Linked DNA regions of Struthio camelus. The protein of the gene in region 2 interacts with the protein of the main gene of each other region in a pairwise test. Links are inferred from orthologs where the notes say so. Each region holds a gene or a part of one and is shown on either strand. Other genes may lie near its edges.

Evidence for each region.
Region 1: the proteins of FCHSD2 (region 2) and ABCF3 interact in binary tests that used the Homo sapiens proteins (3 or more experiments, as listed by UniProt). The two-hybrid records come from large-scale screens. The link is inferred for Struthio camelus from reciprocal best matches to the Homo sapiens genes FCHSD2 and ABCF3.

The regions. Positions count from the first base shown.
Region 1 is NC_090950.1:22,574,449-22,589,912, forward strand, and holds the start of ABCF3 (ATP-binding cassette sub-family F member 3), read left to right. Parts: upstream 1-9,971; 5' UTR 9,972-10,051; coding exon 10,052-10,124; intron 10,125-10,370; coding exon 10,371-10,518; intron 10,519-10,599; coding exon 10,600-10,679; intron 10,680-10,974; coding exon 10,975-11,027; intron 11,028-12,832; coding exon 12,833-12,930; intron 12,931-13,047; coding exon 13,048-13,170; intron 13,171-13,424; coding exon 13,425-13,691; intron 13,692-13,897; coding exon 13,898-13,978; intron 13,979-14,553; coding exon 14,554-14,613; intron 14,614-15,055; coding exon 15,056-15,112; intron 15,113-15,324; coding exon 15,325-15,347; intron 15,348-15,464. Other genes in the region: AP2M1 (AP-2 complex subunit mu), read left to right, coding at 2,709-2,844, 2,942-3,083, 5,528-5,647, 6,170-6,305, 7,103-7,200, 7,324-7,435, 7,775-7,909.
Region 2 is NC_090942.1:222,621,584-222,636,189, forward strand, and holds the start of FCHSD2 (F-BAR and double SH3 domains protein 2), read right to left. Parts: upstream 7,550-14,606; 5' UTR 7,411-7,549; coding exon 7,297-7,410; intron 5,365-7,296; coding exon 5,267-5,364; intron 2,192-5,266; exon of another isoform or gene 2,083-2,191; coding exon of another isoform or gene 2,057-2,082; intron 1-2,056. UniProt on the Homo sapiens protein: Adapter protein that plays a role in endocytosis via clathrin-coated pits. Contributes to the internalization of cell surface receptors, such as integrin ITGB1 and transferrin receptor.

The DNA.
Region 1 (15,464 bases), on a different chromosome or scaffold from region 2:
TGGTGCAAAACTACTGTTTTGTATGCTGGGATTGTGGGACCCCAGTTCTGCTCAAAAAGAGCAGAAGCAATCCTTTCCAGGCACTGTACAGCAAAGGGAACCAATTCAAACACTTGCCAAGTTTCTTTGTCTGCTCTCTACTCTGATATATTTAGCTTCTAACTCCTGCTTCATTTGGATCCAACTTCTGGCAGATACTGTGGGCCAAAATCGGCGACTGGGGTGGTCTGTCATCTATGTTCCCTTATCCCTGCTTGGTTCATGATAGTGCATTCCTTGGGCTTATGTCCTGCTGTATTTGAAGACCATAATCTGCTGTTATGGCAGACTTTGGAAACTCTCAGCCTTATGACTTTGTTCTTAGATAAAATTTGAGGTTTACTGGGCTGCTGCCATTTGAATTGCCACCCTATATGGATATAGTGGTCTTGCCAGGATTGGTGAGCTTAGGATTTAAGTCTTGCTTTATTTTTAGGGGTGGATCTGACATTGCTATGTAGCTTGCCAAGGAGACTACCCCAGCACTCTGGGGATGAGGTCATGCAGCATGCTAGAAGACTAAGAGAGGCTGGTGTGTAAGATGGCATTCCTTCTAGCTCTTACGTATGGAGTGGTAGGTAGCCCATTGCTTGACTAGCACAACTGCAGACCATACTGTTCTCCCTTAATGGAACCCTGGTACAAGTGTTGGCTCAGATTCCTTCCTCTAGAAGAGGCTAAACCTGGCCTTACAGCTCTAGGTGAAGTGATGGCTGTGTGCTGAGTTCTGTCATCAGCTCCTGTCTGTCCAGACTTAACGAACAAATTGAGTGTTTCCTTAACCCTCCAAGTGCTTTTTGGGAGTCTGACATGCTCAGCTCCTAGGTACAGTGTTTTCTTCAAGCCTTAGGCATGCTGTAGCAGTAAAATGCTAGTGAGGGGTCTGCTATCAGCTGAAAGTCTGCCAGAGCCCCGAAAACCTGGTGGTAGCTACCTGCCTCTTACCTAGTCCAATATGCTGGCAACTGAGCAATTAAGGAATTGGATGTTCTTTTCCTGTTTTTGCTGACTTGTTTGTCCAGTTCAGGGAAGCTCCTAGTCCAGAACAATTTCTGACCAGGGTGCCTTCAGTCCCTCTTGAAGGAAATACTCATGCTGCTGGGTGACTTCAGCTTTGAGCACTCCCCAGGCATCTGCTTCCAGATCGGCCTAGTTCCCTTCTGTAATGACCAGCAGAGATTCATGATGCTCCTGCTCTTGCAGGAGATGGGAGCTTCTGCACATGATCAGTGACCCTTTGAGTAACTGATGCTGCTTTGGAAGCCAGGCTACTGAGTATCATATTTGCTTGTTCCTCTCCTTCCTTTTGAGCCTGAACAGAGCACTGAACAGGGCAAATAAGGAGGCTTTTTGTGGGGCAGACAAGGGAGTTACTTTGCACTGCATTGAGCATTTATCTAAGCAGTTCCCGATGGAGTAAAAAATGCTCTGCCTCTTGGATGTTACTGTAATGGGTCTGCTAGCTCAAGGAGTGACCAAGTCCCTGATAAGAGCCCCATGTGGAACTGAACCATTGCTGGTTTAAAACTTGAGTTCATGCACTGCCACCCTGTGGCCCCAGTGCAAGGCTGCTGGGGCAAGACCCACTTCTGCTTTCTGCTCTTCTGGTAGAAGAGGCAGAATTAATGAGGACATAACTTTTTATAGGAACCAGACTTATTAAAATGCCCATGGTGCTGGATGCCTAGTACTTCTCATAGTCTGGTTGTCTATGCCATAGTAAACATTCAGGGCTTGCTTTAGGAATGGCATTGTGAGGAGTCTGCCCTGCCTAGGAGTGTCGCTGGGAGTGGTATTTGGCCTGTCTGTCATTCCATCTTGCTGCTTTCTGTTTGAGTGGTACGTGATGGGCCAAGCCTGAAAAGCCATTTCACGACTGGGAGTAGTGGGTTTCCTGAGCTAAAGGTCCGAGCCCCTCATCTTGTTTTTTGCTGCCTAGTTAGTGATGAGCTGCACTGCTTTGTTCCTGTCCTGAGGTAGCCTTAAGCCTAACTTGCCTCTTTCTCCCTTCCTCCCCTTTCTTGCTATTGACCTGCTTGCCTGTTAACCCTGTGTGCACCACACTTGCTGCTATACATCTACCTCTTCACTTTCTGCGTGTGACTGGACCCCGCCTATAGCATCAGGTAGGAGACCTTGCTGTGCCTCTCAACATAATCCGTAGCGCTCTTAGGAGGCTTAGAGCCTGAACACTGCTAGATATGTGTTAGGTTAGCGTCAGCGTAGAACTGTTGCCCCAAACCGCATGCTGGCAAGAAGCAGCCCTTGGGGACTGGCTGCCTCATGTTAGATAAGGGTGGCAAATTGGCCTGGCAGCTGCCTTCCTCCCTAACATATGGATTGATGTGATGGTCTGTCAGCCATGACTTGGAAGTCATCAGTGGAGCCCACACCCTCCCACACCTAAAGCATGGCCTGATAGAGTAGCTAACAAAAATGAAAAAAATCTTTCTTGCTGTCTTGAGGACCAATTTGTAGTTAGGCACAGAATTCACTGCACTGAGCACTGCTTTGGTGACCAAATCACGGGACGTGTGACAACACCCACCTCTTAAGTGGCAGAAGCAGTTGTGTACAGTAAATGGCAAGTGCTTCCTCTTAATTTAGAGCAAGCTTTCTTAGTCTTTGTGTTTATCTAGAGGTCTAAGATGTCATCTCCTTCCCTTCAGACTAAGGAAGAGCAGTCCCAGATCACCAGCCAGGTGACTGGACAGATTGGATGGAGACGTGAAGGGATCAAATATCGTCGCAATGAACTCTTTCTTGATGTGCTGGAGAGCGTGAATCTCCTGATGTCCCCCCAGGGTAAGTGGGAAGTGCTAAGCTGGCATCCTTTTGCCCTTCAGGGCTCTTGAGTGGGGACTTGCATGTGTATTCTGAACTGCATTCTTCTCTACACCAGGTCAGGTTTTGAGTGCCCATGTCTCTGGCAGAGTGGTGATGAAGAGTTATCTGAGTGGAATGCCAGAGTGCAAGTTTGGCATGAATGACAAGATTGTCATTGAAAAACAGGGCAAAGGGACTGCGGATGAAACGGGGAAAAGGTAAGACGTGTTGGGGTAAAAGTCACTTGCTACCAGGGACCTTTATGAAAGGGAGCACTTAGTAGCTGCTCTGATCTGACAGATGAAGCTTGTCTTTCCTTCTCTTCAGGTATTGCCGCTAGTTTTTCGTCTGGGTAGGTCAGTTATCCTGCAAGGTAACAACCTCAGGGCCTTGATATAAAGGGCTTCCCCATAGCAGGGCTAATGACACTTCACCTGTGCACATCTTAGGTGTCAGACTTCACACCTATGCATGGGAAAGTATCAGGAGCAGTGGGATCCTCTGGGCTGTCATCTTTCTTGAAGTATTAAGATTCAAATATAGTGCCGAGTGTGGAGTTCTTGCAGCTGGAAACCTTCCTCCAAAGATGATTCTCCCAGAGCTTGTGTCTCTAGCAGCTCTAGTTGGTGCAGAGGCTCTTGCAGGATACAGGAACAGTGCCCCCAAGGAACAGTGAAGGAACCCCTCTGGCCATAACATGTTCCAGACTGTTCCAGCTGACAGGGCTAATGTTTGGGTAAGCCCCTTCTGCTGATGTAGGATCGTTAGCAGCAATGTGGGCTGGAGGCTCACCCTTTTGGGAGTCAGCTACCTTCATTCCCAGCTGTGCCTCAATCAGCACCTATCCTATGCTGAAGAGGGACTTTATGCTTTTTTCCAGTGTTACTGCTTAAGGGGAAGAGATCAAAGCAAAGGGACTGCCATTTTTTCTCCCACTAACCATTTATGACTCAACTGTTTCTTTTGTGTGCTTTTTTTGCTGACCCCCCAGTGAATTGGGAAGGTAGATAATCTGCTTCAGCTACATGTGCACTCTGCTTCCTTCCTTGTCTACTGCTTTGACTTGTGCATGTAACCCAGATCTCAGACACTTTCCATGATGATTCCTGTAAACTGAGCTGAGCTGCTGTTTGCCTTTTCTCTTAGAACCAAGCCAAGAGCTGTCACTTCACTGTCACCTTTAATCTCTCCAGTACCTGGATCTAGTCAGTAAAATGGACTGAGCCTCAGGTGCTGGCCTGTAGTGAAATACCCTAGTGAAAACGTCATCTGTGTAGGCTTCTGAACAGTCAATAACAATGTTTGTCCTAAAACTTTTATGCTGTATGAGCATCTTCACCTGTAAATACACCATTTTCTTGAGTTAGAGAAGCAGGATGGAGCTAAAGCTCTTGCTGGGTGGCTCTCCCAAACTGTGGTTCTCCAGTAGGCAAGAGCTCAGAGATGTCACTGTCCAGAAGCATTTAGTAATAAAGTGGCCAAAAGGGACAGCTGTTGCTAGTTGTTTTTTGGCGTCTAGCATGTGGCAGTACCAAACCTCTGAGTAATGCTGCTTGAGACTTGAACCGGTGCTAGGCAGCAGAGCTTTCCCAGCAGCGTTCCAAAGAAACCAAAGAACAAGTCTGCTAATGTTGGCTGTCATCTGGGCAATAGATTGGAAAAGACTAACCTTCACTTATGGAGCATAAGCTACACCAGTGGGCTGTGTAAAGTAAGCAACCATTCAGCCTGGACTCGGTCTGCTTCCCACATATGCAGGTAATGGTGGGGTCTCAGTATGACTAAACAGGCCTGTGTTGCTTATACTATCTCTATGCGCTTACATAGCTGTCCTGTTGCTCACAGCAGTTGAGGCAGCCTAGATATCATAATCCTACATTGCCGCACCTTCTCTATGCTGGTGCCTCTGTCTCATTTTCTAGCTCCTCTCAGTACCCGAGAGGCATTCTTGGCTAACTCTGGGACCTGTAGCAAGGAAAACATTGTCAAACTGGAACCCGATACAGGTTGAGTACTGGCAGGTTAGTCCAGTGCACCTAGCTGCACAGACATTAGCTGTCTAGGTTTTAGAAATAAAAAACATGAAAACGTTTGTGGCAGGCGTTTTTGTCCTCAGTAAATTGGTTGCTATGCTGGCCTGAGGAAGAAGGTTTCTGTCCTGGGTCAAACCATGAGCTAGCAGCATGGAAATTCTCAGCTGTGAGGAGGTTTCTGAGCAGGTAGACCCCAAATGTGGCATCTCCTAGCTGTGTGGCAGTGGGATAGCTTTGTGGACAGGGAATGCTTTTCCCCCCCTTGGACTGCACTGCAAGAAGACTTGGGCTAGCAGAGTTGCCCTTGCAGTGCTGAGAAGCTGCTGACAGGCAGACCTAAGCGTTGCATTCCTGGCTGTGACTGAAGGGTGCTGCTCTAACCTCTCCTCTTGGGGAGAGGAGGGAAAGAGCTCTTTTAAACAAGCTTGAAGTCTGATCTTGGCGAGTGTGAAACAAAGGAAGCCTAAGCCAGCAGAGCCTGTCCCTTAAATCTCTCCCTGCCTCCCCGTTTCCTGGACACCTGCGATGGCAACATGCTCTGTAGAATAGTTTCTGCCTGAGCAGACTCTGCCTGCACCAACATACTGGGGCTGCAACTTGCGCTTGTTTAACTCTGTCTTGTGTTTTAGTGGCAAACAGTCAATTGCCATTGACGACTGCACTTTCCACCAGTGTGTGAGACTCAGCAAGTTTGACTCTGAGAGGAGCATCAGTTTCATTCCACCAGATGGAGAGTTTGAACTCATGAGGTATGGTGATAGGGAATGAACAATCTGATGTTGGCATCTGCTTGCTGCTACAGTTGTGCTGCTGGTCTCCAGGCAGACTTGCTGCCCTTGAGGAAGCAGCAAACGTGCTGCCTTCCTTTCTTTTCATAGTGCAGTCTATAGGGTGTCTTACAAGTCCTTCTTTACAGATGCAATAGAAGCCCAGCTCCATGTTGTTGGTTTTTTTTTTTTTTTGTCACAATCTTGGCATTGGATATGGGTTTCCCTGCCCTTTAGCCTACTGTATCTGGTAGTGCCTAAAACTGGTGTCTTTGAACAGGGTCACTTTGCAGGAACAAGATACAGAACTTGGGACTCGAAGTCATCAGTGGCCTAGGGCAGCACGGATCTAACTGCTGCTTACTTTTGGGATGGCTCCCTTTCTGGCTGATGCTTTTAAGCTGTTCCCTGTGTGTGGAGGCTGTCCCTTTAGGAAGGTAGTACAATTTGAGGCCCTAAGAGTTAGCTCCTTCTTGGAGTTCATTGTTGCCTCTCTCCTTGCAGATACCGAACCACTAAGGACATCATCCTTCCCTTCCGCGTGATCCCTCTGGTGCGGGAGGTGGGTCGGACCAAGCTGGAAGTGAAGGTGGTGATCAAGTCAAATTTCAAGCCTTCCTTGCTTGCCCAGAAGATAGAGGTAAGAGAATAAAACTTGAGGTTTCTTGTGCCTGGGAACTGTGTCTCTAGTTATGTCTCACAGATAGTCCTCAAGTTTGTACAGGACTAAGAGTGAACTGAAAGTCCTACAGATGTGTATTGCTGCTGTGCTGGAGGGGAGGCCCTGTGTAGTAGGGAGGTGGAAGCTGTTCTTAGTTGCATTGGCAACTAAGAACATCGTTCCTTGGCAGAAGACTCATTCCCTGCAGTACCTGCTTGGAAGAGTGCAAAGCAGCTGTTCACTTAACATCTTTGCCACTATGAAAAGCTCATGTTCTTCTGTCTGCATGATCTAACAGAACATCAGACAGGTAGTGGGCTATGAGATGTTTAAGACAGCCAAGGGTAAGGGTAGATGTGCAGCCTAGCCCTCTTCTGGGGAAGGGCTGTTGCTGCAAAGTCAGACTGCCCAGAGCCCAATCTGAGCAGACCTCCCTGAGCAGCCTGGCATCCTGCCTGAGCTCATCTGTCTGACGCTAGTAGAATTTCCTGCTGCACATCTGTAGCCTGAGCTGAAGTGCTCTGCCCTGTTCCTCATAGACTGTTGTGGATTTTACGAACTTGTTTGAGCCTTTACTCCAACACAAGAAATCAGAGAGCCAGCCTATGATGCTTCAGGGTAGCTGATATACTCTGGGCCTTGAGATGGAGGGAGAAGGCCAAGGGATCCAGGACAGCAACTGCACTGTCCTGGGAAGTGTCAGTCTTCCTGTGAGCCTGCGTGGAGTGGTCGGGCTGTGGTCTCCTTGCCCCTGCTCACCAGACTCTTCCTTCCAGGTCCGGATCCCAACCCCCCTCAATACCAGTGGAGTGCAAGTCATCTGTATGAAAGGGAAGGCAAAGTACAAGGCCAGTGAGAATGCCATTGTCTGGAAGTAAGTGAGCATGGTTGGGCAGGAGCAGAGCTTGGGGAGGCAGAAGCTGTTCTGTGCCTCTGCAGTGAGCATGCCTAGCGAATAGACTCGGTTATTTCTTCACCTCTGGGCCTTCCCTGATAGGATTAAACGTATGGCTGGAATGAAGGAATCCCAGATCAGTGCAGAGATCGAGCTGCTGCCCACCAATGATAAGAAGAAGTGGGCTCGGCCCCCAATCTCCATGAACTTTGAGGTGAGTCAGTCCACCTTCCAGGGCACAGCTAACCTGGAGATGCTTTGTCATTTCCTTCTGCCCTCATGGGAACTGCTCAGGTCTGAGACCTCCCTGTCCCTGACTGCTCTGTGACTCTTCCTAGCATGAGGCCACCCCTACAGGTAGCAAAGCTAAAGGAAGAAAAATGCCCTGAAGGCCAATGGAGTCTGTCACCACGCATGCAGGGTATAAAGAAGGAAACAGTAACTCTGTGTCTGTTTCCAGATGCTTGGCTGGGGGTCCTCAGGCTGTTTTGTGTGCATACCATCTTTTCTCTGTGTTCCAATGCTCTCCGTTGCCTTTCCCTTTAATCAATAGGTCCCGTTCGCGCCCTCTGGGCTGAAGGTGCGTTACCTGAAAGTCTTTGAGCCAAAGCTGAACTACAGTGACCATGATGTGATAAAATGGGTCAGGTACATTGGCAGGAGTGGGATCTATGAGACCAGATGCTAGCCCGAGCAAGCTGGCAGGCTCCCTCTTCAAGCCATCCTCCACGTCTCCTCCGTCTTCAAGTACATTCAGAGAACATCTGCCTGGCCCCTCTACAGATGGAAAGACCCTGTGGCTCACCTTGGGAATGGACTCGCCTGCCTGTGCTCAGTTACCACCCATGCTGCAGCTGAAGTTCAGAACCCAGTCATGTGCAGGGATGCTGTCAGCCTCCTGCTTTCTGTCCCAGGGTGGGGAAGGGCTAGTCTAACTCCCATCCTCTCATGATCTTTCTAGGGAACGTCCACCATTAAACTCCTCTTCTGTTGGTGTCTCACTACTTGCATCATATCCTAGTATTTTTGACGTTCTTGTGCATATGTACCCGTAGATTAGACCTAAACATAGACTGGACAAATCTGAGTTGAAGTTACCCTGGCTTCTGTACTAGCTATTGCTGTTGTGGTAGATGTTGCTGGCCAGTCTGAGATACCTGGGGTGGTGAGTTTGTCAGGCCTCCACCGGAGGAGATGGTGGGCTCACTGGACCTCACCACTTTATATTTCTTGCAAAGTCTTCAGTATAGAGTCCTGCCATGGGAAGGTTTGTGACCAAAAAGGATGAGGGTTTAGACTCTTGCTGGTGTGTATGTGGGTGGCACAGCATTTCAGGTCCTTAGAGCACTTACCCCCACCTGCTACTGGCTTGGGCCAGTCTGTCTTTTCCAACCAGATTGTAAACTTGGCCCCTCTGTCCCAGGGAGTGTGGGGCAACTGAGCTCTGTCAGGATGTGAACAGGGTCTGTCCTCTAGAGTCTAAAATGCCAATGGCAGTAAGAGCCCCCTGCCCCAGCCTGCCCTCTCCACACTTCTACCAAATGCTTCTGGGCCATAGGAATGCTGCTGCTACCCACAATCCTGCTTCTGGTAGTGTGGTCTCCATTTTGTACACTTTGTGATTTGTCCAGCTCTGAATCTAATAAAGTATGTAGAATGGAGAAGGCTGCCACTGCTGCTATTTGGGAGTTGTGATGCAAAACCCTGGGCTGTGCTCTGGGTCCCTGCCCGAGGTTGTCCTGGGGCTTGCATTTGCTGCTTCCCCAGCACTGGACTGCCTCTGGGTTAGTAGGTGCAAAGAGCAGGGATGCTCTTGCTTCCAGCCATGTTAGTGCTGAGTTCCAGCTGCTGCTCCCTGGTGCAATGAGGGTGCTGTGAGCTGCAGGACCCCTCGGTGCTGGTGAGCTGCAGGAGCCAACAGTGCTTGGCCCCTCTATGCTGGGGAGTGCTGGGCTCTGAACTAGAGCAGGGAAGAGGGCAGACCTGACTCGCTGAGGCCTGCAACCGTGTGGAACTGCACTGCCCTCTTTGTTATGCTTGTCCAGCTACTTGCAGGCTTGGCTTCTCTACCGAAGCCTGACCTAAGCAAACTGCTCTGGCTTTTCCTTTAGACAGCTGGAGGGGAAAAAAAAAAAAAAAAACAAAGGGGAGGGGAGGGTGCTGTACCTGGCAGTTGAGGTGACCTATCCCTGGGGCTTGGATGCCCGTTCACTCCAGCCTCCTGCAGGGCTGCTGTGGGCTGCCCCCTGCCTTAGCCCATCTTATCCTACACGTGATCAAACCCTGGCGGGAGAGCAGGGGATGTGAGGGTGCCGGAACCTGGCTTGGTGAGAGTTTTGAAAGATGCAAAGGTGCAGCCCTGGACTGGAGAAGGAGGTGTGGAGGTGCCTTTGGGGGTGCAAACCCTCAGCTGTCCTGGGCCACGCTTCTACTACTGTCTGCTCACAGGGCTGCTATGCACATAGGTGCAGCTGCTGTAGCGGGGTGGGGTGTGTGCTGGGGGTGGCTCTCCCTTGCTTGTGAGAAGCCGCTGCCCTCCCCTACCTCCAGCCTGGCTCCCGGCGCCCCCGTGGCCCAGCGCAGCCTGAGCGCGGGAGCTCGGCGCTGCACAGCGCGGGGGGCGCCCCCGCCCCGCCCGTGCACACCACCGCCCCCGCGCGGACTACATTTCCCAGCGGCCCCCGCGCGCATGGCGGCCGCCCGCCTGCTTCCCGGCACTCCCCGCGCGCGCTGCCGTCCCTTCCGCCTCGGCCGCTCTGCCGGGCTCCGTGTGGCGGCGGCGGCGGCGGGCCCGGGCGGCGGCGAGCCCGGCTCCGCGACCGCGTCCGCCATGGCGTCGTGCGCCGACATCCTCCGCAGCGAGTTCCCCGACCTGGACGGCGAGGTCTTCGCTTACGTGACGGGTGAGCGGCGCCCGCCGCCCCGGGGCTCGGCCCCTCGCCTCCGCGCGTCGCGACACGCGACCGCTATCGCGACACGCGGCGCCGGGCCGCGCCCGCGTCGCGACAGGACGGGAGAGCCGACGGGGGAGGGGGGGAGAGGGGAAGGGCTGCGGGCGCCGCCTGTCGGCGGAGTCGCGACAGCGCGGGCGGAGTCGCGACAGCGCGCGCGCGAGCGGGCGGGGTCTGCAGGCGCCGTGTCGCCCGCAGGGATCCTGCACGGCGGCAGCGCCGACTTCGAGTCGGTGGACGACCTGGTGGAGGCGGTGGGGGAGCTGCTGCGGGAGGTGTCGCAGGACGCCAAGGACGACGGCGCCATCCGCGAGATCTGCCAGCGCCTCTTCAACACCCTCCAGCTGTAAGGGTCGCCCCAGCCCCGCCGCCCCGGCCCCGGCCCCGGCCCCGCCGCCGGGCCCTCACCTCCCCCCCTCTCTCGCAGGGACGAGCAGAGGGCCCAGCGCTGCAGCCAGGTGCTGCTGGATGCCCCCATCCAGCTCTCCCAGATCGCCGACAGCTACGGTGAGAGGACCCCGCCGAGGGGCCGCGGCCCCCCCGGCTCGGTGGGGAGGTGTGGACGCACGGCGAGGACGGGCTTGGGGCGCGGAGCGCACCTTTACCTGGCTCCTCACCCTGGGGGGAGTCGTCTCCAGCCCCTGGCTGCTTGCGAGGGGGGTCTGATTTGGAAGGGCAAGAGGCGTCCTTTGGGTGCCCTTGTCATGCAGGAGAGGGAGAAGTCGCGTGTGCTTGTGGGCAGGTGCAGGAGCGCTGACTGGAGCCTCTCTGGGCCACCTTTTCACTGTACGACTTGTTGCAGATGCCAGCGTGGACCTGTTGCCAGGGCTGTTACTGAAGAGGGACCAGACCTCGGTAAGTGGAGGGCCAGGTTCTCCTTGTTCCCGCATGGTCTGCGAGGGTACAGACAAGTAACACTGGAGCTGCAACTGCCCGGCTCTGCTCCAGTCACCTCTCCCTCTGTGAGCAGCCAGGAAGGGAGCTGCTGTGGTTAGGCGCACAGCTGCATGGAGGTAACTGCCCTTTTGCTTCAGTTTCGCTGTATTTCGTGAAACTGTTTGCTCTGTCTGGTAAAGAGGATCAACAGGAGTTAGCAGCACACCAGTTTTTCAGGATCTATTTTGCTGTAACTTTTTAACAAGCTTTCAAGTGTGGTTGATGCAGTGGTAGTGCTCAGAGGAGAGCTTCTCTGACTCGATAAGAGCCTTTGGCCCATACTGCCGGCCTTTGATTGAGAAATTAGAATGTACCAGGACGACTTTGCATCATACTCGATTAGAGATAAAATCTTGGCTAAAGATTAGATGTCAGGATGTTACAGGTGGGGAGTTAGCATGGAGCAGCTGTTTCCCACAGAGCTGCTGCAGGGAGATTGTAAGTCCTGCTTTAGAAACGGCTGTGGTTGTCATGATTTGAGGAGCAGAAAAGTTTGGAAGTAGCTAATCCCTGTGACTTGTAAGAAATCAGAATGCGTTTGCTAATGAAACGCGTACCTGCTCAGGAGAGACCTGGGTTGCCTTCTGCATTGAGTGTGCATGTGTTTTTGAGAGGTGTGGTTGTGCATCTGCAAAGCGAAGATGGAAATAGCTTTACAGGCTGGGCACTTTCTCCACCAGGCTGGTCTCTTATGGAGTTCTCCCTTCTTGGGGTAATGGGTTGAGCACAAGAACTCCTAGCGTGGAGACTGAGACCTAATGTGATCCCTGCATGTCTAAATGGGAGCATTAGGTGAGAGCTGGATGCTGTTGCTTGTTTTGGCACTGGAGTAGCTGTTGCTGGGTTTGCTGTCTGGTTCTTGTGTCCACAACTCAAAAGAGATATTCAGAAAAATTGGAAAAGATTCAGAGAAGGCCTGGGGGGCCTCTCAAGTTTTGGAAGATAGGTCTTACTGAGAGATTTGAGGAGCTCAATTTAGTTTACAGAGTGACTCAATCTATCTGTAGGTGCTGGGCCACGATTCCAGTAACAAGGCGCTCTTCAGTCTAGCATGCAGGTCTGCAGCATGCTCCAGTGGCTGAAGTGTTGCCTAGAAATATCTAGGAGCGTTCTTGGTCAGCCACAAATATTTGACTTGACACAGGAGTAAGTTGGAGTGGGCTGAAAGCCTAGCTAAGTCCAGAGGCCAGGTTAAAACACTTGGCTCCTTCTTGCCTTCACATTTAATTAATTGCTTTTTATCTCTGTCTTGATTGATCTAGTGCCTAACTTGAGTTTGTTCCAAACTGGCTAGCGTTTAACATGCTGGGGAAAGAAAATGCTTAACGTCTAGGGTGAAGGTAGGTGTAGGGTATTCTGGAGCAAGCATTGGGAGGCCAGGTTGTTGTAGCAGAAGTAACTTGGCTGACCCAGGTTCCTGAAACCAGAAAAACTGACTGCGAGGAAGAGTGTACGGTTAGGGTCAGCCAAACCCTTTGCCTTGCTGAGGCAGAACTGTTGTGTATATAAGCAGTTGATTTGGGACTTCATTCCTGAGCCAACCACCTGGCCTGATCAGCTTCCCTAAATTGTACTTGAATCTGTCCTAGTTCCCTGTCCTACTTCCCTCCTGCCTTCCTTCTCTCTAGGCACAAGGGATTGATCTCTTTTCTCTTGGAGTCCTGCTCTTTGGACTTCTGCTGAAGATGCTTTCGATTCTTTCAACTCCATTCTTTGTGCCCTAGATGGTAAATGCCAAGAAACTGGAGAAGGCAGAAGCCAGGCTGAAAGCCAAGCAGGACAAGAGGATGGAGCGGGATTCCCTAAAGTCTTCTGGTCCTCTGTGAGTAGGGAGGGTGGCTGGAAACACTCCCAGCCTGCTCTGCTGAGTATGCCTGGATCCGACCAAGCCAGAGCTTTCCTGTTGAACTCCCTTCTCTGTCTTCTGCCTGCCTTGCAGGGTCCTTGAGGAGGCATCTGCCAGCCAAGCTGCCAGCAAGAAGGAGACCCGCATGGAGTCATCAGGCAAGAACAAGTCATATGATGTGCGCATCGAGAATTTCGATGTGTCCTTTGGCGAGCGGTGAGTGCAGATAGCCCTGGTTGGGGTTTCAGGCTGGGGTAATGAGGCTGGTTCGAAAAGCGGTCGGGAATGACAGAGGGTATGGAAAGGAGCAAGGTGAACACCTAATCCTGTTGGCTTTGGGCAGGAAAAGCCTGTGAAGGTTGCTTGGCCCCAGCACAGCCTGAAATCTGCTTGGGGCAGGCAGCTGCCAGTTGCCTCCGTTTCCACAGGACAATCTGAGCAGGAGCTACCTGCCTGTTTTCTCGCCTTAGTGTCCTACTCGCGGGGGCAGACCTGAACCTGGCATTCGGACGGCGCTATGGGCTGGTGGGCAGGAACGGTCTGGGCAAGACCACACTGCTGAAGATGATTGCCAGCCGGAGCCTGCGCATCCCCTCGCATATCAGCATCCTGCATGTGGAGCAGGAGGTGGCGGGGGACGAGACGCTGGCCCTGCACAGTGTGCTGGAGTGCGACACTACTCGTGAGAACCTGCTACGGGAGGAGAGGGAACTGACAGCCAGGGTTAATGCTGGCAGGTGAGATGTTGCATCTGGGTTTTCAGCCCTTCTACGATGTCTTGAGCGTGAGGTTTTGTTCTGAGATCTCTCCCTTCCAGTGGAAGGCTCCATCAGGGCTCGGATGCATTTCACCCACTTTAGTCCTGCTTGGGGAGATCAGCTTCCCCCAGCACTCAAACCTTGACCTCAGTCAGTCCCATGTGCTTCTCTTTGCTCGGCTCCAGGGGAGAAGGGACAGAAGGTGCCAGGCTATCAGAGATCTACGCGAAGTTGGAGGAGATTGAGGCAGACAAGGCACCAGCAAGGTGAGACAGTCCTGCGAGCACTGCCATCTATCTGTGTGCATCACCAGAGTGGGGCAGTGGTTTGGCGTAGGCAGCATGGAAGGGTGATGCTGTGCCCCTGGGATCCAGCATGTGAGGATGAAGGGCTCTCTCTAATGCTGTTCTTGTCTCTTCTTCCATTACTGCCATGCTGGACTGGGAGTAGTCAAGCTTCCTCCAGAGGCAGGAGGGATTTTTTGCTGCCAATGGCTTACATTATTGCTGCTGCTTCTCGCAGACCTCCCCAGGCTCCTGGTGTCTGGGGAGGATTTATGGAATGTTGATGTTAGCGATTCTCTTTCTGGCCAAAGAGCCAAAAGCTTTGAAGTTGGTACCTTATTGTGAGTCTCCTGCGACTCCATGTGGATGCTGGGCCCTGCTGGGTTGCGTTTCCCAGGCAAGTGCTGCTGTTGGGCCTGCAAGGGATTTTTCCCGCATGAGAGCAGCCTTAAACCATGTAGCAGAGACCCCCCACAGTGACCAAGGGTTTGGGAACTTGGACTGTGCTCTGCAGCTCCATGGTATAGGTGGGTTCCAGTTCTCTCCCTTTTCCCCAGGGCATCCGTCATTCTTGCAGGGCTGGGCTTCAACGCAAAGATGCAACAACAGACAACCAAGTAAGTCTCCAGGCTCTGGGTGTCAAAATATAATGGGTCTGGAGAGATCCTGTGTCCCAGCCCCGGTGGCCAGCAGGGTTATCTCTCTCCTGGCGAACCCCTAGGTGCTGCCCTGGCTGTGCCTTGATCTGACACAGGGAGAGTGGCTGTAACTGTGAGAGGGGAGCCCTGCAGGATGCTGTAGGTCTATTTGTGCCTTTCTGATGCAGCCTCCTGCCTAGGGGGTGCCAAGCCACCTGTCTGCTGGCCTGGGGAGGAGCTGTGTGTGACAGGACTCATGCTGTGTCCACGATCTCTACAGGGACAAGCTGTCTATGGGTGACAGCGGAGCTAAAAGGGCTGTGGAGGAGTGTGGGAGCAGGGAGCCTGGCAGGCAGGCAAGCTCAGAGTTGTTCTGCATCAAACGCTAACACTCCCTCTGTGCAACCTCTTCTCTCCTCAGAGAGTTTTCCGGAGGCTGGAGAATGAGACTGGCCTTAGCCAGAGCACTTTTTGCTAGGTAGGTGTCCGGAGGTTTGTGCCCGTGCTTTGCTATGGGGTTAGCCCTCCTTGCTGTCAGAGTGCTGCAAGGAGCTGGCTGGGGGGTCCTCTCGTCTGAGCCTCAGGGTGGGGAGCGTTTGAGGCATTGCAGCTCAGTGTGTGTGGTGAAACGTGCTCTGCGTTAACCCTGTGCTCTTTTTGCTTCTGATGCCTGCGTCTTGCTTTTCCTAGGCCAGATCTCCTTTTGCTGGATGGTAAGTCGATACTGTGAATCCCCTGTAACGCCACTGCTAGGTCTGCCTGTGCCCTTGCTGGGGTTGGGAACGGAGCGTGGCCTTTAACAGCCTGCTCAAAATAGCCCTGCGTGACAC
Region 2 (14,606 bases):
GAAAAAAAAAAAAAAAAAGATGATCTCCTTATGGAAAGTTCCCAGCTACTGCAAAGAGGAAGTTCTGAAGAGGAATTAAAAAAGACCTTAAGAGATACCCACTAGCCAGAGGCTAACATAAGTAGAGCCTAATACAGGGTTCAAGAATATCCAAGCAGGAATCGCATTCCCTGCAGCTGGAGACCGGAAAGAACAGGAAGAGAGGAAAACTTTGCACTACTATTTTGCCCCAGGTCAGGAAAAGTAACATGCTCTCATAACTTTGCAGAATCTCTTATGGGATTATATATATATATACACATATGTATGTATATATAGCTATACAAAATATATTCTTTTACAGCTTTTTCCCCTGCAGTCACTTATGCTTCTGCAGCACTATCCATACTATAACAAGACTTTTCCTTAACAGGTTGTTAAATGATCTGCGTCGTAGCTGCTATATTAAATTTGCTGTATTTAAAACTGGAGCTGCAGCTAGTTTCTACTTTAGTAGTTTGACGCCCAGCCAACGTTGCCATAAACCTTATCACAGACCTACCAACATCAGTGAGATTACAGAAGCACAGGCAAATTCCACTGGAGAGTACAAAGGATATTCACAGCAAAAGGTTACACGCAACCTTATTAACTACAGCATAATTCAATACATAAAATGGCATGTTAAAACTAGCAGCAACTAGATAGCTACAGATACATATTCAGCATACTTTTTTCTTTTTCCTTAGGATCTGCACTGTTCAGTCATACATAAACCTGCTGCTACAGGAACAAGACACCAAGCTAGAGACATCCAAAAAGTACTCTGTCCCTGTACCGGACGCATAACCAAAATCCAGTAATCCTCTTTCCTCGTTCATATCTTCTCTGCTACGTCTCCATGGAGCAAAAGCGAGTGACAGCCCAACAACAGGGCAACAGCTACAGTATCCTATATCAGAAAAAGGCTCAGATGGATAAGGAAGACTCATAAGAAGAACTCCCCACTCAGTAAATAAATACAAAGGCTTAACAAACTTAGCACACCTAAGCTATACACTAAATGTTAAGCATCAAAGCTTCCTGGAAACAGAGGTGATACCCAAAAACTGATTACAATTCAGGAGCTCAGAACTGGATAAAGGAATAAGGAAGAGATGTGAAGGATCAGGGAGGGGAAAACAAGAGTTTCAAAAAAAAAAAAAAAAAAGAAAAATTTTAAGTACAGAACAATCTTCAGAGAACAGACCTTTGGAGGAGAGAACGGAAACACAAAACGTACCATACAAAGGCAAGACAGCAGAAGGAGAAAGGTGAACGACAAAGAAGATACAGAGTGCAATGAGAACGTGGTTTTATGAGAAAAAGGTGAATGAATTTAAAGGATACATTACAGTGAGATAAGCTAGACTGAACAATGAGGAGAGGAAGATGTTTTAAATAAGAAGAGAAAGTAAGGAGGGAGAAACGAAAAGGACAGACGAAATAGCTCCTCCTGTTCGTTTCACTCTACATATATTTGCATGCACATCTGTGAAACACATGGAAATTACGAGCCTATGGTTTTGACAATTCCTTTTACACGCTGAGTTCAGCTGAAAGTAATGAAAAACTAAATTCAGGACCCAGCAAATGAAAGGACCACGTTGCTATTCCATCTCAGCCAGAAATCATGCAAGTTTTACATCTCCTTTCAACACGCTGCACACTCAACTGACGCCAAACAGCGTCACAGGATCAACACACCCAGACAGCAGAAAATTAGTTAAGACTTAAATAAGGTGGCCTTTCTAACCATGCAGTTCACAAGGCTGCAGCTGTGCCTTCTGCAGGAGCACTAGGCTGGGGTTACCCAGCGACTCCAACCCCGCGCCCAGTCTGGGCGGCAACCCCGCGGTCGTGCTTTCCACCTCCACCCCAGCTACTCGTTCCTTCTGCCCCTCACGCTAGCAGCAGCATCTGTGCAATCACGCAGCAAGCTGGATCAGGGAACTGATTTATCTAAAAATTATCTTTTTTGGCGGGGAGGAGTCAGGGGATGGTTTGTTTTCAGGTGTTCCTAATCCAAACGGCTCACCCAGCCACATGGGTCCTTGCGCCCATTCGTATAGGCAGGCAGTAGAAATAGTTAGCGAGCGGGACCGGCCCTTCAGCAGCAGTTCAGACTTTCAGAACAGATTAAAACAGCCACGTAACCATAACCTCGCTCTCTCTGGCAAAACATAAAAGCAAGGAAATAAGAACAGACATTTTAGAAAACACTATCCAAAACCTGTAATATATACACAATTCTTTTGAGAGCCATGCTTTGAGATAACACACAAGGTAAAGCAACAACCGCATAACAAGTTTATAAAGTCTACAGCGCATAAACACATTACGGAAACGTTAAATCAAATTCAAGTGTGGATCTCACAGAGTTCTTCCCAATTTTGCAGGCGCATGCACACGCACAAAAGGAAAATACATCTACACCCTGGCAACTGAAGGATAAATCCAGACTACAATGTGTGACTTATTTACGGCCACCAATCAAATACGGTAACGTTTAAAACCAAAATAAAATACATGAAAACCTGCCAACACCTCTGATAAATTCAACCATTCATAACGCACTTGGCCATTGGAAAAACTGAATTTGCTGCCCGAAAGAAGCCAGGAACGGCTAGAGTGAACAAGCATCCCAAAACTTCTAGCCGTAGAGGAACTTTGAAGAATTTCTGGCTCACACCAACAAAGCCTAGAGTACACAGACGACATATTTCAAATTTAATTAAACATGGTGGGTTTGTGTACAGCCCTCAAGGAGATTAAGTAGCTACAGATGGGGTGAAGAATAGGCAGTTTCACCTGTATGCCTCAACCCCAACCAAGAAGAGACCCTTCTCGAATAAACAGTAGTTCAGTCTGCATCGTCTCCAAATGACATAGTTTGAAGTTTTCAACTACGAACATTTAAGAGAGTGTTCAGTTTTGCATTAAAACATCAAAGCTGTTGAAATGGAAAGTATGTTTATGTTCTGGTACGTTGCCAAAATCATCTGCTAATACACTATACAATGAATGCATTTTAACAGAATTCATGAGAAAACTTTCCGATCTTTTCCTTGTATAACTTCTTCATTACGGATATTTAAAACTTTATTCAAAACTGGGCTGAAAGGATATAAAGAATGCAATTAAGGACATTAGATGCTAGACTTGTTTGTTTTTTTTAAATATTGCATACATGGCTTAAATACCTGCATTTATATGCTAACAAATGCAGTAACTATTTGTAGTAATTTAACCTTTTAAAATATGAATTCTTATTCACTAACTTGTAAGCCATGCATTCAGAGTTTCTTGTTAGTGCTGCAGTAGTTACATATCTAGAATTTAGAGCAGCATAAAACAGTACCAAGCTGTACTCTTGCACTACTGGAAAGTTCAAACAGTACTACAAAAGGAACAGAACTCTCTGACGTCTTGGTAAACAAAGAGCATTCAGTTAAAATTTAATACTTCTGGATAGTGGCAGAATGCTTTCTTTAAAAATAATTATTCATGCAAGAGACAAAAGAGATCCCGTGCATGGTTCCAACGAATGCTGCTTTCTGGAGCGCTCTGCAATCACGGGGTGCTGCATAGCCTCAATGTAGCGACAAACACACGAGGACTGGGACGGGGTGGACGCCAAACTTCTCACACGAGTGTCATAAAGCGACTGATGCAGTATCAAGACTATACAGCCCTCAAAGCCAAGGTCCTCCTTGACAGCTAAACACAAAGACCTCTGCTTTACAAGCCAAGAAAATTTTTTTCAGCAAGCATTCTTAAGCAAAAATTCTCTTGTTGTCTCCTACTCTGTAATCCGGTGTTTGAACAAATCATTGCCACGATGGAGCTGTCATATTCTATCACGTCATTCCATGTTTGAAGAATATTTAATCTGTAAATCCACATAGTGATTCTGCAAACACAGAAGGCTTGTAACAAGAATGCTGATCAGAGACCACGTACATTTAGTGACCATGTTAGTGAATTAAGTACATTAACCCAGTTTCTTAATCCATAGCATTAACATTTAGAAATTAAATTAATGTTAGAGATTAAATTACATTACAGAAAAGTATTTTAAGCCAGCATTTTCACATTTTCTTGTTTTTTTAACCACAGGCTAATAATGCTTATGACATCTTTCAGCAGAAATCCAGACTTAAGTCATTATGAGCCCCTGAAAAAGAGGAAATGCTATTAAAACCTGGACTAGAGCAGCAGTACCTGGCCTAGAAACCTGATTTTGGAACATCTACCTAGGGGAAAAAACTCCTCAGATCAATCTGTTACTTATCACTCAGCATTTACTAGTCAAACACTGCACAGCCACTAATTTTAATCTAAGGAAATAAATGCTGTGATCATTCCCATACAGAAAAGTGTTTCAATGCCCACAGAAGAAAACAGGGTGAGAAAACACTGAAGTCTCGACACACTGATTTAGGACACCGAGAGCGAGACACACAGCATGTCATTTGTCAAAGCGGCCATATTTGCATTTTATATACAAACACAAAGCAAGAAATCTCATTTAACTAATTAACAGGTGGAATAAATGGTGACAAAAGGAAGGACAGCAGTGGATTCACTGATGAACGCTTTACAGAATAGCCATTCTAGAAACCGACCCTCTCCAAATGGAATGATTAAGCCTCCATATAATTCCAGGTACTCCCTATCTCCGTGAGTATTTTGTTAAAAGTAAACTTTTATGTTAAAGGGAAGCAATGGCATTAGTTAAAATGAATAATAAAAAAACACAGTTTACGTTATCTAGATTCTCCCCATTGATCTTAGCCTGAAAAGAGTTTAGGTTATAAACGTAAGAACCTTCTTTTAAGTTTCTGGGAAAAAATGAAATGCATTTAAAAGTGCTATTCAAAGCCATCTCTAACAAGACATAGTTCATCAGTGGTTTTAAAATATTTTCAATAATTTTAGCAGCCTCTTTAAACTGGTAAATCAAATAAATTATTATATAGAGAAATACTGCTGAAAAGACTAATACTTTTTGCATGTTGTTTGCGACTTTTTTTTTTTAAACATTTCCCCCATTGAAGAGAAGAAAAAATGGTTTGCATTGTGTTAGCTCCAGTTATAATTTCCAGCTGTGTCAAAACTTTAACAGCCTAAAAGCAGGAAATCCAAAGAGGAAATTCCATCGTCAGTTCCTGACGTTTTGTAACTCAAAAGTTCTTCCAAAGCTAGATCTTAAAGGAATTTTTGGTTGCATTTTCTGTAACCTTACCTGATATCTTCAAGTAGCTCACATTCTGCCTGATGCTTGGCCTGAAGTTTTGTCATCTGCTCAACCTGAATGTTTTTTAGCTCTTGTGTAACTTTCACCTACAAAAAAAAAAAAAAACACAGACCATATATATTTTCTGTAGGGGTTAGGTCAAATTTCAAAAAGAAAACAAAATTTATTTCTCTCATCAATTTTGAATTTGCATATTTCAGTGGAAAATTAGAACACAGAATTAATAATGCAACTTAACCCTATGATTTCAACAAATGCTGTAAGCCCAGCAGGCCTTCATTTCATACGTCACAAATCTCAAACTTATGCCCTAACATTAACAAAAATGTTTTGTTTTATTTTGTTTTTCCAAAGAGCTATGAAAATAATTGGGGGAGGGAACAAGCTTGAAAAAGGAAAACGGGTAACAGGGAGAAAACTGATGGTGTGTACACTTAGCACTTCAGCATAGCTTACACAATTGTGGAATGTGTCTTGATTAAGTCATCCTACAACTACTATAATTAAAGACAGTTTAAACAAAGCTATTTCTTAATCGTGCATCAGAGCCCTTCTACATAAGGTACCTCATAAGGCTGGCTTTAGCTTTTGAGTATTACGTAATTTTCCTTTGGCCCTCACAATCCCGAGGATTTCAATAATTTGAGAACCCACCCGCTAATTTGTAAAAGGGCAAAAGACCAGGATTTGACTTAGGCAAGGGAACCTGTATCCTCTCCCCTCCTTTTATTTTTTTTCTTTTTTTAAAAACAAGCAGTCTGGGCATTTAAGCCCTCTAGTGAGCACAAGGAGTCCAAGTATCAGCCTAAAAAAAAAAAAAAAAAAAAAAAAAAAAAGGATCACCAGCATATCAAAAGATGTTATGCGTTCATGAGGACCGAAATGCCTAACAGTTGCTGTAACGGGGGAAGAAAAAAGAAAAACGCAGAGAAGAGGTAGACACAAATCTCCCTCCTCTTACCAGCCAGGCAAAAAAAATCTTCCAGGTCACATTGGCTAGGAAAAGCCTTCTCAAATTTAAGGCTGAGTCAAAAAAAGAAAAAAAAAAAAGACACCACCACCACCAACAACCAGGACCCTTTAATCACAGCACTAAAGACATTTTTCACATTAGTGCCTACGAGATACTGAAAGTCACACGTCCAGGCCTGACTCTGATTAAGCAGGAAAAAAAAAAATCTATTTTTAACATTAACTTTCAACGTTTTTACTTTCATCTGCACATGAAAAAAAAAAAATCTATTTTAAATAAATAAACCCACGCAAGATAACCCATGCAATGGAAATGACCGCAAATGAAATAATGTGGGTAAAGAATGACACCCACGTAACATAAATAAGCTGCCAAACGCAAACTAAAATAGCAAGAAGAACCCTTTAACAAAAGCAGAGTCCACCCGCAAAACAAGGGGGTGAGAGGCAGCAATGAGACACGGAGGGCTCTTGGCTGCAGCTGGCTGCCCGGGGTTACTGGGGAGCTCAGGGAACGACAAGGGGGATTTCTGTTTACGCTCCCTTGCGCGGTCTTCCTCAAGTCTTCCTCTATAAATCTCAACACCACGCACGAAGCCTTAAACATCCACACTGAACCACGACGGTCTGAGCGCAAAGCATTTCGGCGCACGCCTCCAAGCAGCGGACAACACCCCGACGAACGTAACGCGCTAATGATCTCAAAACCAGCAAACTCCCCCCCCCGCCCCGCGATCCTTATTAGTGAGCAACCTCTAAACCTTTTCCGAGGCTCGCTTTACCACCTCGAGCTCCCCCGTTCTCCCCATATTCCAGCCCTTGCATACAGCTCTCAAAATAACTAATCAATACATCTCCGTACATCAGTGCTCACGCTCGAGACCCCACCATAGCTCAAGTCTTCCATGAACAACCTGCCTGCACAGACAAGCCGCACCGGCAACAACCTTTTTCCAAATCTACCTCACATCCTCCCGCACCAGCGGCCGTAAGGCGAAGCACCCCGTATTCCTGTGGGCCGCAAGGACACCAAAAAGCCTCCCCACCTCACGCAGCGTTTGCAACCAGCATGTGCAGATTGTTCCCGTCACACCTGTGTTACACAGCCGTGGCTGTCCCTCTTTGCTCACGCTCCTGATCCACCCAGGGACAACCTGCATCCTTACAGCAACTCCAGACGCGACCTTCCACTCCAGCACAACCAGCAGCAGTTGCTTTTAACCCACCCAGACACAACAAAGTCCTCTAAACGCAGCCAGTACCACCCCACAACCAACACAGGCTGTCCTAAAACCCTAAGTACAGCCTAGCCCTTTGCGATCATTGACCCCCCTTCTAACCCTACCACCCCACGGCTCTCCTTTAGTGCGGCCACTGCCACCCCCACCGTACTCCACCTAACCAGCCCCCTGCCCTCCATCTCCTCCACCTTCACCTTCCCCTCCAGCCCATGCCCTATTCCATCTCCAGGCTTCTCCATCCAGCCACTGCCTCCCCCACCTGCACAGCCCCTCTCCTGCCAACACCGTGCCCACCCACTTCGAAATCCCCCCCCCCCAAAGCCCCTTTTCCCATTGTCCCTAAGGCTGCCCCAGCCCCAATTAATCACTTGTTCCCTCTAACGCTTGCTCCTCATCTTCTCTCCTGCCTCCAGGCTCCACCACCCCGGTTTACCCAGCACATCCACACCTCTGCCTGCCCCATCCAGCCACTGCTGCCCCCCACAACCCCCCTCCTTACGCCCCATCCTGCCCCCAGACCTCGCTGCCCCTTGGCCAGGAGTTGCCCGAATCCTACCCTCTCCAAACACAGCCCCACATCCCAACCCTCCACCTCATCCAAACGCAGACCCATCTCCATGGAGCCACTGTCTCCCTCTTCTTCCCCCCCCCCCGCCCCGACTCCCAACACCCTGCCCAGGCTTCCCCAAATACAGCCCCCTCCAGCATCCCCCCTCCCCACACCCTGCCCAGGCTTCTCCCAAATACAGCCTCCCCCCCCCCCCCATTATCTCCCATGCCCTGCCCCAACCCCCCCCCATACCCCACCCCCAGGCTCCCCCTGGGTCCCCCCTCCCCATGCCCTGCCCCAGCCCCCCATTACCCCCCCATACCCTGCCCCAGCCCCCCCAATACCTCCCCTTCCCCACACCCTGCCCCAGCCCCCCCATAGCCCACCCCAGGCCCCCCCGGGTCCTCCCTCCCCATGCACTGCCCCAGCTCCCTATACCCCACCCCCAGGCCCCACTCAGGTCCCCCCTCCCCACACCCTACCCCAGCCCCCCATTACCCCCCCATACCCTGCCCCAGCCCCTCCACCACCCCCCCACCCTACCCCAGCCCATTACCTCCCCCTCCCCACACCCTGCCCCAGCCCCCCCACACTGCACCCCCAGGTCCCCCTGCCCCATACCGTGCCCCAGCCCCCATTACCCCCCCCACAGCCTAACCTAGCCCATTACCTCCCCCTCCCCACACCCTACCCCAGCCCCCCCCACCTCCCACACCCTGCCCCAGCCCTCTATTATCCCCCCAAACCCTGCCCCAGCTCCCCCCCACCTCCCCTTCCCCACACCCTGCCCCAGTCCCCCATTACCCCCCCACACCCTACCCCAGCCCCACCTCCCCCTCCCCATACCCTACCCCAGTCCCCCATTCCCCCCCACACACCCTGCCCCAGCCCCCCTATACCCCACCCCCAGGCCCCCCCACCTCCCCCTCCCCATACCCTACCCCAGCCCTCCATTACCCCCCCACACCCTGCCCCAGCCCCCCTATACCCCACCCCCAGGCCCCCCCACCTCCCCCTCCCCATACCCTACCCCAGTCCCCCATTACCCCCCCACACCCTACCCCAGCCCCACCTCCCCCTCCCCACACCCTACCCCAGCCCTCCATTACCCCCCACACCCTACCCCAGCCCCCCTATACCCCACCCCCAGGCCCCCCCACCTCCCCTTCCCCACACCCTACCCCAGTCCACTACCTCCCCCTCCCCATACCCTACCCCAGCCCTCCATTACCCCCCCACACCCTACCCCACCTCCCCCTCCCCATACCCTACCCCAGCCCTCCATTACCCCCCCACACCCTACCCCACCTCCCCCTCCCCATACCCTACCCCAGCCCTCCATTACCCCCCCACACCCTACCCCACCTCCCCCTCCCCATACCCTACCCCAGCCCTCCATTACCCCCCCACACCCTACCCCACCTCCCCCTCCCCATACCCTACCCCAGCCCCACCTCCCCCTCCCCATACCCTACCCCACCCCTAGGCCCCCCCCCCCCGCCCGGGGAGGCCTCACCTTCCTCGGCGGCGGCTGCATGGTGCTGCGCTGGGTCTCCACATCAATTCTGCCCCCGCGGCAGCAGGATGCGGCCCCGGCTGCAGCAGCAGCAGGAGGAGGAGGAGGAGGAAGAGGAGGCGGAGAGGAGCCCGTGTGCCTGCCGGCGCGGCGGCGGAGGCCGCTTCCTCACGGGCACCGCGTCCCCCGCCGGGCAGCCAGGAGGCGGGCGGCTCGGCTGGGCTGGCGGAGAAAGGGGAGGAGGAGTGGAGGGGGGGGGGGGGAACGAGAGGGGAGGGGAAAAAAAAGAGAGAAAAAAAGAAAAAAAAAAAGAGAGAGAAGCCGGGAGGCGAACAGCGGCTCGGCAGCGCCCCGCTGAGGAGGACCGCGGCCATGCTGTGATCCTCCGAGCTGCCTAGAAGGACGAACCATAGAGTTCCGGGCGAGGAGAGAACGGAGGAGCCGGCTGGCCACGCCCCCCCCGCCGCCCTCCCCGCCTGCTCCCGCGCCGCCCGCTAGGGGGCGCCATAAGGAGGGCGGCGGCGGCGGGCGGTGCTGGGCGCGCGCGGTGCGCTGGGAGGCGGCTGGTGCATCGCAGCGGTCGGGCAGGGGGGCGCTGGGCTGCGGGCGCGTTGCACGGGCAGGCCGCAGGCGTGTTGCACAGGGAAGCTGCCGCTGGGCTGCGAGGTCGCCTGGCCTTGCTCAGCCGAGCTTCATTAGAGCCGCTGGAAGGACGGCTTGGAAATAATCCTTTTTAGCAGAAATTCCCAGGGCGGTTCGCAGAGCGCCGGGCGAGGCTCCTAATTGCGTTTCCCCGAGCGCGGCGGCGTTGCTGCACCTTATTATCGTTGAGCTGCTTTACTCCCACTCACCGGAAATGACCTCTGGCCTCCTAACAGCTTTAACCGTCTTTAACACTTTTTTTTTTTTTTTTAACTAAACGTAACTTGCATTCTCCTTTTTCCTCCGGCTATTAGGTTATTTAGTGCGGCTAATTAGTACAACTCGCTCTCGCCGGGGAAACCGCCTCAAAACGATGAGTGAGACGCGGGGCATCGATATACGCTGGTAACGTACGGCGCTCAGCCCCAATTCGTTTTGACTGCTGAATCTGAATATCCCAATTTAAGCTTGTTTTTTTCTTCCTTAAATTGCATGCGGTTAGAAAGTTCCCGCAGTCCCGGCCGGACACTGCAACTACAATAATTAATCCTTTCGCGGTCCAGCTTGGTGTCCGCCGCTGTCGGGTGCATCCCGCTGAGAAACGCCGCTGCACCTGACGTTTTCCAGCCGTGCTGGGTGCAGGGACATCGCCGCAGGGTGGCAGCAGTTGCAATGGGCACAGCGTAGCCCAAGCGGAGGGGAAAAATAGAGAGTTTTTGGCACTTTTTTGATTGCAGCATCGTTTCAAAGGGAGAGGCAGCTGAAGGACCCATATAGTTTGGTCGATAGTCATTGGTCTGCCCGAGAGCCAGCCGCTTCCGAGCGGTCCGATGTTCCTCGGAGCGCTCCCGCGGCACCGCGCGTCTGGGTAGGTGGATGCGGAGAGCAGGGAGAGCCGCGTGGTCCCTGCCCTTAAGGAGTATTTCTGGGATGGAGGAAAAGCAGCCACCCCACGCCTGCATCCGTTCCTCGCCGCGCCCTGAGCAATGCCCGCTTTGCGCTTGGGAACAGGAACACGAGGACCACCGCGAAAAGTGCCAGCGCGCGTCCGCCCAAATAGGTTTGCCGGCACAGCGGGTTTGGCTAAAAACCTGGAAAACCGAACTGTGATCCTTCTCGACAGAAGGCAGGCCCTGGGGAGCGTTTTGGGGGCGGCGGGGCAGGGTTTCCGAGTCTGACGCAGAGTGCGATGAGTTATGCCAGGCCTCAGCCTGCAGCGGGAGGGGGCGGCCGCAGCCGCACCGCGTGGCTCGGCCCGCCGCAAGGCCAGTGGAGAGCGTGCGGGGAACGCCTGCCGCCCCCCGGGAAGGGCGCGTTTCACATTGGGCTCCAGCGTACGGGAAATAAAAGGCTTGACAGCTGCAGGAGATCAATAGAGAAAGAAGGAAAGAATGAAGCAAAGAGAAAAATGGAGAGGAAAAAAAGGAAAAGGAAAAAAGAGAGAAGGAGAGAGAGAGAAAAGGGGAGAGACAAAAAGGAAAAAGGGAGAGAGAAAAAGGAAAAGGAAAAAGGGAGTGAGGAAATGGAAAAAAGAGGGAGAGAGAAAAAGGAAAAAGAAAGACAGAGCGAGGAAAAGGAAAAAGAGAGAGAAAAAGGAAAAAGAGAAAAGGGAGAGAAAAGACAAAGAGGGAGAGTAGAAAGGAAAAAAAGGAGAGAGGAGAGGAAAAAGTGAGAAAGGGAGAAAAGTAAAAACAGGAAGGAAGGAAAAGAATGCGAGAGAACAAGGACTGAGAATGAAGGAAAGAACAAGAATGAGAGAGAAAGGAAGAAAAGAGGAAGGAAAAAGTGAAGGAAAAGAGACAGAAAGGGAAAGGAAGGAGGGAAAACTAGATAGATGGAGAAAGAATGAGAGAACAAGAACAAGAGAGAAAGAGAAAGGGGAGGACAGAAGAAAGAAAGAAAAACTGTAAGAATATTTAAGTCTTGAAATATAATCCTAAAGAAGCTATGGAATCTCCATCAGCAGAAGTTCTTAATGCTAGGTTAGAGAGCAGCTAAAGTATGGTTGAGGGATGTTTCTTCCTCCTGAAAGAAGGATAAAAGACGTAACTTCTTTAGTGTAAGGGTGACAGAGCGTTGGAACAGGTTGCCCAGAGAGATAGTGGAGTCTCCTTGGCTGGAGATATTCAAAACCCGCCTGGACGCGATCCTGGGCAATGTGCTCTAGAGGACCCTGCTTGAGCAGGGAGGTTGGACTAGATGATCTCCAGAGGTCCCTTCCAACCTCAACCGTTCTGTGGTTCTGTGATTATCCTTCATAGTTGACCGTGACCCCCCGGAGCGATGTTGCAGCCCTTCCCTTCCCTTCCCTGCAGCAGCAGCTCCTGCCCGAGCGCTTTCTCCCCGCCGCGCTCGGAGGCCGCCGGCGTTTCCGCCTCTTGCAGCCCCGCTCCCGCTGCCCTTCTGCCTTTCCTGCAGCAAAGCCCGCTCTGCGCCAGCGGGTTTTTCCCTCCACCTGAAGAGGTGGTGGCGCGCGGGCCGGAGCGCTGAGCAGCAAGGCTTTCTGCATCTGCACCCTCGCCGGCGTCCCTCCGAGACTCGGGGTGGAAACACGAAATCCAAGCGTCACCCACAGCCCGGCTCCCTGGCCGCTGCGATGGTGCGAGAGGCAAAGTCTCTTCGGCTGTAAAATTGTGCATTCACTGACTCCGGGGATGTTTCAGCCTTTTTTGGGACTGTCAGATCAGCCTCAAACTGCGTTTTGCTGCCCTACCTAGTTGTATCATATCTGACCGGCATCGTGGTACAGGACAGGCAAAAGATGACAATTGAGATTGCTCGAACTTTGCCCCTCTGCCATGCAAAAGAGAGTATATGGATCAGGAAGAGTAAGATTCACACTTCTGCAGAGGGACCTACCTCAGAGTAGCTCTTCCTGCCTCTGTCGTACCATTAGTGGAGCTCTTTGGAGCTGGCGTAGCGTAATATGCCATAACGTGTAGAGATAATCACAGAACGGTTGAGGTTGGACAGGACTTCTGGAGACCATCTAGTCCAACCGCCCTGCTCAAGCCGGCTTAGCTAGAACCAGTTCTCCATGACCATGTCCAGCTGGGTTTTGAGTACCCCCAAAGATACTCCACAACCTCATTATTGTGTTTCCAGTGGCCTGCGTGGGAGGATAGACGTTGCTGCCCACTCAAGCAGTGAGCAGTGCGTTTGGAGTGAGAGGGTCAGGAGAAAGACATGGTTGATCCATGCACTTGGTTGCATGCTCCTGTCCCGCCAAGCAGAGGTGAGACTCTGCAGAAGAGTTTGCGCGAGTCTGGCACGTTCCTGGCTCTGGGGGCTGTGCTGGTAAATGGCTGCAGTCACTGCTGCGCCCAAACACATGAGGGCGCTCCAAAATATCAGCATTTGTAAGGATGTTGGGCCCGTCCAGCTCCATGGGGTTAACCTGGGAGCCTTAGACAGTTAACTTGAGCCTCTCAGGCTTTCTGCATGCTCTGGCACTCCCCAGCTGGGGGCGAATCACTCATTGGAGCTTGTTATAACCTGGTGCAAGCTGGAGAAACTTTGAAGTGGCTCTACAGGAGCCCAGGGGCTGAACCAGCCTCCTCCAGGTTGAACTCGGGTGGAATGGAGCGTCCTACAGCTGAGATTGCCGTGGGGGATGAAGGTCCAGCTGAGCAGTTAGCAAGGGCTGGAAGAGAGCCCGCACCCAGCCACAACCCTGCCACATCCTGCTCAGGCCTGTTCCACAGCGTTTGGGTGCAGGAGGCACTAGTAGACCCAGGCTGCTTTGTTCCTTGTGCTCAGCTGTTCTGGCCTCTCCCCATTCCTTGCTTGTAATGTTTACCATACCTGCCAGGTGGGACAGGGATTAATTTCCATGACAACGCATTGCCCAGAGTAAATATCTCCAAGCAGGGAGGCTTAGCAAGATTTTTTTTTTTTTCCCAAAGCATTGGCAACTTTCCTGCTCTTTTCCTGGGTGGGTGCTCATGACCAGACATGAACATAAGGCTCCATGGAGGCAGAAGGAATCTACTGCATGCAAGACCCGTCTGGAGGAAGTCAAAAGATTAGTCCTGAGTCCTGGTGTCGGACAGCACCGATGTTGTCTCCCATCATCTGAGTTCGTCTCAGAGTTGGAGAGCAGAAGTGAGGAAGCAAAGAGAGGACCCATGTGAGATGAGGACTACGCCCAGAGGTCTCAAGTGACAGCTTGCTGCCATTTTAGCCACCGATGGGACTGAATCTGCACGCCGTGGGGCTACCATGGTCTGAGCATCGTAGGTCTAGGAAAGAGCAGATGGAATCCAGCCCCACAAAGCACGACCCCACCAGTTCACACTTGAACACCCACTGGTCACTTTGGAATGCAAAGTTGTATTACATTATCAGCGTTTCAGGAGCACAAGATGGAAAGCCACTGATACTACAAGGGCAGGTGAGACCCAAGAA